2 linked regions of the Lonchura striata genome follow. The protein of the gene in region 1 interacts with the protein of each later gene in a pairwise test. Links are inferred from orthologs where the notes say so. Each region holds a gene or a part of one and is shown on either strand. Other genes may lie near its edges.

Region 1 (3,918 bases):
TTTTAGACTCTTCGCCTAATTTTTGGGCTCTTTTCCCAATTTTTGAACTCTTTTCCCCATTTTTTTTGGAAACATTTTTCCAATTTTTGAGTTCATTCTCCTGATTTTTGGGTTTATTTCCTGATTTTCGCCTCTTTTTCCTGGTTTTTAGACTCTTCGCCTAATTTTTGGGCTCTTTTCCCAATTTTTGAACTCTTTTCCCCATTTTTTTTGGAAACATTTTTCCAATTTTTGAGTTCATTCTCCTGATTTTTGAGTTTATTTCCTGATTTTCGCCTCTTTTTCCTGGTTTTTAGACTCTTCACCTAATTTTTGGGCTCTTTTCCCAATTTTTGAACTCTTTTCCCCATTTTTTTAGAAACATTTTCCCAATTTTTGACTTCATTCTCCTGATTTTTGGGTTTATTTCCTGATTTTCGCTCTTTTTCCTGATTTTTTGGGCTCTTTTCCCAATTTTTGGGTTCATTTCCGACTTTTTCCCTCATTTCCCGCATTTCTGGCCTCCCAACCCGTTTCTTTGTGCTTTTTTCCCACATTTTCACATCTTTTTCCCACTTTTCGCCATTCCCGAGCTCCCCGCTCCCATTTTCGCCCTTTCTTCCCCAATTTCTGGGCTCTTCCCCCTTTTTCCTCACTCCCTCCTCCATTTCCGCCTTCCCCCATCCCGATTCCGGGCTCCTTTTCCCGCTTTTTGGCTTTTTTCCCCGTTTTTTCCTTTTTTTTCCCCATTTTTCTGGGCTCTCGCCTGGCGCAGTTCCCGCGTCCGGTCCCTCATGGCGGCTGCGCATGCGCAGGAGCGACCAGAGCCGTCAATAGACATGAATGGGAGGTCCCTAATGGACACCGCGCATGCGCAGGAGCGACCAGAGCCGTCCATAGACATGAATGGGAGGTCCCTAATGGACACCGCGCATGCGCAGGAGCGACCAGAGCCGTCCATAGACATGAATGGGAGGACCCTAATGGACACCGCGCATGCGCAGGAGCGACCAGAGCCGTCCATAGACATGAATGGGAGGTCCCTAATGGAGACCGCGCATGCGCAGGAGCGACCAGAGCCGTCAATAGACATGAATGGGAGGTCACTCATAGCGGCCGCGCATGCGCAGGAGCGACCAGAGCCATCAATAGAGATGAATGGTAGATCCCTCACGGCGGCCGCGCATGCGCAGGAGCGACCAGAGCCTGCCCATAGAGATGAATGGGAAGCACCACAGAGACGAGCCGGAAGTTCCATGGAACCGTCGAGACCAACCGGAAGTCCGCCATGGAGAGAACCCGGAAGTTCCACAGAACCAACCGGAAATCCTTTAAACACCACGGCGATGACCCAAAATTCCTCCAAAGCCGCCCGGACGAGCGGGAAAAGTTCCCCAAAAATCCCCGGGCGCCGCGGAAATCCTCCGAGGCCGGAACCGCCGCGGGGAGGCCGGAAGTGCGTCCCGGAAGCGGCGCAGGGGGCGGGGCCGGGCGGCGCCGCTTCCCGGGCCCGGCGGGAGCGGCGGGAGGGGCGGCGGGGGCGGTAAGAGCGCGGGGGGGGGAGAGGGAAGAGCCGCGGGGTCGCCATGGCAACGGCCCCCGGGGGGGGGGACGGGAGGGACTGGGGGGAACTGGGATAAACTGGGACAAACTGGGAGGGATTGGGGGAGACTGGGATGGGATTGGGATAAACTGGGAGAGACTGGGATAAACTGGGAGAGACTGGGATGGGATTGGGGGAGACTGGGATGGTATTGGGGGGGACTGGGATAAACTGGGAGAGACTGGGGGAGACTGGGATGGGATTGGGATAAACTGGGAGGGACTGGGAAGGACTGGGAGGGAACTGGGATAAACTGGGAGAGACTGGGGGGGACTGGGATAAACTGGGATGGACTGGGGGGGAACTGGGAAGGACTGGGAGGGGACTGGGATGGACACGGAGGGACTGGGAGGGAACTGGGAGGGAACTGGAGGCAAACTGGGTGAACTGGGATGGACTGGGGGGGACTGGGATAAACTGGGATGGACATGGAGGGACTGGAATGGACATGGAGGAACTGGGAGGGACTGGGAGAACTGGGGAGGGTTTAGGGGGGTCCTGGAGTAACTGAGACAGACTGGGAGGGGACTGGGATGAACTGGGATGGACACGGAGGGACTGGGAGGGAACTGGGAGGGACTGGGAGGGAACTGGGATAAACTGGGAGGGAACTGGGGGGGACTGGGAGTGAACTGGGAGGGAAAGGGGAGGGACTGGGAGGGAACTGGGAGGGGCTGGGATAAACTGGGAGGGACTGGGAGGGAACTGGATGGGAACTGGGGTAACTGGGAAGGGAACTGGGAGAACTGGGAGGGGTTAAGGGGGGTCCTGGAGTAACTGGGACAGACTGGGAGGGGACTGAGATGAACTGGGATGAACTGGGATGGACATGGAGGGACTGGGAGGGAACTGGGATAGACTGGGAGGGAACTGGGAGGAACTGGAGGCAAACCGGGTGAACTGGGATGGACTGGGGTGGACTGGGTGGGACTGGGACAGAACTGGGCTTTACTGGGACGGGTTTAGGGGAGGTCCCGGCATAACTGGGAGGGAACCGGGATGAACTGGGACGAACTGGGGGAGGATCCCCGCCGATCCCAGACGATTTTTTTGGGGTGATTTTCGCTTTTTTCAGGTGACTCCTCCCCCTCCCCCAACCGATCCCACCCGCGCCGGCGCCATGGCCGAGCCGGGCCCCGCCCCTGACGGAACAGGCCACGCCCCCCATGTGCCAGACCACGCCCCCCATGTGCCAGGCCACGCCCACCATGGCCCAGGCCACGCCCACCATGGCACAGGCCACGCCCACCATGTGCCAGACCACGCCCACCATGTGCCAGACCACGCCCCCCATGGCACAGGCCACGCCCACCATGTGCCAGACCACGCCCACCATGTGCCAGACCACGCCCCCAATGTGCCAGACCACACCCACCATGGCCCAGGCCACGCCCCCCATGGCACATGCCACGCCCCCCATGGCACATGCCACGCCCCCCATGGCACAGACCACGCCCACCATGGTACAGGCCACGCCCCCCATGGCACAGACCACGCCCCCCATGGCCCAGACCACGCCCCCCATGGCACAGACCACGCCCCCCATGGCCCAGACCACGCCCCCCCGGGCGCAGACCACGCCCCCGAGGCGCCGGGGCCGCTGGCGCTGCTGAAGGCGCGGGCGCTCGACGTCACCTTCGACGTCGGCGACGACTACGAGGTCATCGAGACCATCGGCACCGGCGCCTACGGCGTGGTCAGCTCGGCCCGGCGGCGCGACACCGGTGAGAGGCCTGGGCCGCGCCCGAAATACACCTGGGGGCACCCAAAATACACCTGGGGGCACCCAAAATACACCTGGGGGCGCCTGGGGGCACCCAAAATACACCTGGGGGCACCCAAAATACACCTGGGGGCACTCAAAATGCACCTGGGGGCACCTAAAATACACCTGGGGGCACCCAAAATACACCTGGGGACACCCAAAATACACCTGGGGGCACCCAAAATACACCTGGGGGCACTCAAAATGCACCTGGGGGCACCTAAAATACACCTGGGGGCACCCAAAATACACCTGGGGACACCCAAAATACACCTGGGGGCACTCAAAATGCACCTGGGGGCACTCAAAATGCACCTGGGGACACCCAAAATACACCTGGGGGCACCCAAAATACACCTGGGCACACCTGGGCACAGTTAAGATACACCTGGGCACACCTGGGGACACACGAAACACGCCTGGAGACACCTGAGACACACCTGGGCACACCTGGGATACACCCAGGCACACCCAAAACGCACCTGGAGACACCTGGGACACACCTGGGCACACTTGGGGACACCCAAAACACACCAGGAGACACCTGGGCACACCCGGGGCACACCCAGGG
Region 2 (2,967 bases), on another chromosome or scaffold:
GGGGGCCCCCACCATGTCCTGCCTCAGTGCTACATTGCAGAGACGTCCCGTGCTGGAGGGGCTCTCTGCATGGTGGCTGGGGGCTTGGTTATGGTTGGGGATTGGTGCCCATGGGGCAACTGAGGTTTGGACTTGGTGTTGGTTGGGGATCCATGGTAGGTTTGGGCTCAGTGCTGATTGAGATTCATGGTGGGTTTGGTGGGTCTGGGCCTGGTACTGATGTGTGCCAGGGGACATGGTGGGTCGGCAGTGGGTGCTGTGTCCCTCCATGTCACCCTGTTCCTCCGCAGGGACTCTGTTGATCTGCGGCTGGAAGAGCTGAAGCCCTTCATCCCACCAGCCTGGATGACTGAGAAGATGCAGAAGCACATGGAGACGCTTCGCCGCGGGGGGGACGTGCCGGCCCCCGAGGAGCCCCCCGAACCCTGATGCCCCCCAATAAAGCCGCTTCGCTCGCAGCTCGCCGCTTCCTCGGGCACCGGGCACCGGGCTCGGGCCGCGTCCGGGCCGGCGGGACCCGCGGGGCAGCGGCCAATCAGAGCGCGGAGCGTCACTGCCGGCGCCCGCCGGCCGTTACCGTGGGAGCGGCATCCTCGGCGGGCCGTGATTGGCCGGCTCGAACGGGGCTGCGCGCTGATTGGTGGGGGGGACGCACGTGGAAATATTCAAACGGGGCGCGGGAGCAGGCGGGGCCGCGCGGGACGAGCGGACTGGAGAGTGTCCGGGCCCGGGGCTGCGACCGGGCCGCTCTGCACCGGGGAGGGGTTGGGACTGAGCCGCTCCTGCACCGGAGAGGAGTTGGGATCGAGCCGGTCTGCACTGGAGAGTGGTTGGGCCCAGCCGCTCTGCACCGGAGAGGAGTTGGGACCGAGCCGCTCTGCACCGGAGAGGGGGTGGCACCCAGCCGCTCTGCACCGAGGGGGTTTGACACTCAGCCGCTCCTGAATCGGAGACCGTCTGGAACGGGATTGGGATCGGGCCGCCGCCTCACGGGAGAGCCCCAAGCACCGCCGCTCGGCACCGGGGAGCCGCAGAGGGGCCCGAGTCCTGCCCCGAGCGGGACTGCGGGAGGGAGGGAGAGAGCAGCGGAGCCCGGTGCGGCGCCGCCCGGGAGCCGGAGCCGGAGCCGGTCCCGCCCGTGACCCGCCGGCAGCGGCGGCCGGTGCCAGTGTGCTGGTCCGTGCCCCGGGAGCCGCTATGGCCTCACAGAACGCCGACCCCGCCGCCGTGTCCAGCGCAGCCGCCCGCAAAGCGGCTGAGACCGGGGCCACGGCGGCCCGCGGCGCGGTGGGGAAGAGGTGAGCGGAACCGGGGCCGGGGCTGAGGGCGGGGGCGGCCCCGGTGAGCCGGCCGGTAACGTGCGCTTTCTCCGCAGGCTGCAGCAAGAGCTGATGGCATTGATGGTGAGTGGGGCCCCGGGGCCGAGCCGGGGATTGGGGATCCCAAAGGCACCCGGGACTGAACTGGGTTGGGGGGGTGTCTCGGGGCGTCCCGGGCCGCCCTGACGCGCTGCCCCCGCAGATGTCCGGTGACAAAGGCATTTCTGCCTTCCCCGAGTCCGACAACCTCTTCAAGTGGATCGGGACCATTGACGGCGCCGCCGGGACGGTGAGAGGCGAAATCCCGGTCTGAGGTGGCCCTGACCCTGCCCCACCTTCCTCCCTTCAGCTGAGGGTGTTCCTAGCCCTCCATTGCCCTTGTACCTCTTTTTCTTCGAGGCTTCCCCACACCTCTGGGGCTACAGCCCCCCCTGACTCCTGTCCCACTTGACTCTCACCCCAGGCCTACGAGGAGCTGCGGTACAAGCTGTCACTGGAGTTCCCCAGTGGGTACCCCTACACAGCACCCACCGTGCGGTTCCTGACCCCCTGCTACCACCCCAACGTCGACACCCAGGGCAACATCTGCCTCGACATCCTCAAGGAAAAGTGGTCAGCGCTCTATGATGTCCGCACCATCCTGCTCTCCATACAGAGCCTGCTGGCAGGTGGGTCTCGCGGACAAACTGCTGTGGAGTGCTGGGGGAAGGGGTGGTGGTGGTGGTGGGGCTGTCCAACCCAGATCAGGGCTCAAGGGTGTCCAGGTCACCAGCTAACGCAGCCACTGTTTCCAGAGCCAAACATCGAGAGCCCTCTGAACACACATGCTGCTGAGCTCTGGAACAACCAAGTTGGTGAGTACCTGAAGCAGAACCCTCCTGCCCTCTCCCCAGTGGGATGGGCAGCAGCACAGCTCCCAGTGCCTGTCTGGCCCCACAGCTCCCTGGCCACTGCCTCAGGACCCTTGGTGTCATGTTCTCTCTTTCCTCAGCCTACAAGAAGTATGTGCGGGAGACGTACAACAAGCAGACCAAGAGCCAGGAGACCTGACCATCACCACCACCCCTCAACACATCCCCTCCCTCCCGGCCATCCCCCGCGTTCTGTATCATAGGCTGTTTTTAAATTAATGTCGCAGTCCGAGCCATGGTTAATGTATAAATAAATGCAGGTTTATAACTTCTGCAGGGGATTCTGTGGCAGCTCTAGCACACCCTGAGTGCCCAAGAGGCCCCTCTGCAAGTGTGGGCGTGAAGGGTGGAAGGGATACTGACCCCTGTGGGGTAATGAAAGCTTTATCAATATTTGGGGGCCTGGAGCAATTCTATCTACAGGGTGGGAGCAGCCCACACCATAACCTGCAAAGGCAGGGGCTGAGGACTGTAGGGGTACCTCTGTCTCCTGCTCTGTGACAGGGGTGTCACCTCTGCTGCTATCTCCTGCCCCCCTAGCTCACAGCACCCCACAGCAGTGCCCAGCGCAGGGGCCGCCCCAGGCCGCTCTCTGTGTGGTGCCACTTGTCTCTGCTGGCTGTGTGGTCTCTGTGGCTTCCACTGTCCATGGTGGAATGTTGGCTCCGCTCTCCATCTCTGCCAGCGTGGCCCTCACCTGCTCGATCTCCTCCTCCAAGCACTGGGCAGTCGGGGGC

The links.
Region 2: the proteins of MAPK7 (region 1) and UBE2C interact in binary tests that used the Homo sapiens proteins (3 or more experiments, as listed by UniProt). The two-hybrid records come from large-scale screens. The link is inferred for Lonchura striata from reciprocal best matches to the Homo sapiens genes MAPK7 and UBE2C.

The regions. Positions count from the first base shown.
Region 1 is NC_134637.1:104,282-108,199, forward strand, and holds the start of MAPK7 (mitogen-activated protein kinase 7), read left to right. Parts: upstream 1-1,280; 5' UTR 1,281-1,435; intron 1,436-2,657; 5' UTR 2,658-2,702; coding exon 2,703-3,306; intron 3,307-3,918. UniProt on the Homo sapiens protein: Plays a role in various cellular processes such as proliferation, differentiation and cell survival. The upstream activator of MAPK7 is the MAPK kinase MAP2K5.
Region 2 is NC_134619.1:8,182,156-8,185,122, forward strand, and holds UBE2C (ubiquitin-conjugating enzyme E2 C), read left to right. Parts: upstream 1-1,197; coding exon 1,198-1,298; intron 1,299-1,375; coding exon 1,376-1,403; intron 1,404-1,521; coding exon 1,522-1,608; intron 1,609-1,782; coding exon 1,783-1,987; intron 1,988-2,113; coding exon 2,114-2,173; intron 2,174-2,310; coding exon 2,311-2,369; downstream 2,370-2,967. Other genes in the region: DNTTIP1 (deoxynucleotidyltransferase terminal-interacting protein 1), read left to right, coding at 291-429; regulator of G-protein signaling 9-binding protein-like, read right to left, coding at 2,772-2,967. UniProt on the Homo sapiens protein: Accepts ubiquitin from the E1 complex and catalyzes its covalent attachment to other proteins. In vitro catalyzes 'Lys-11'- and 'Lys-48'-linked polyubiquitination.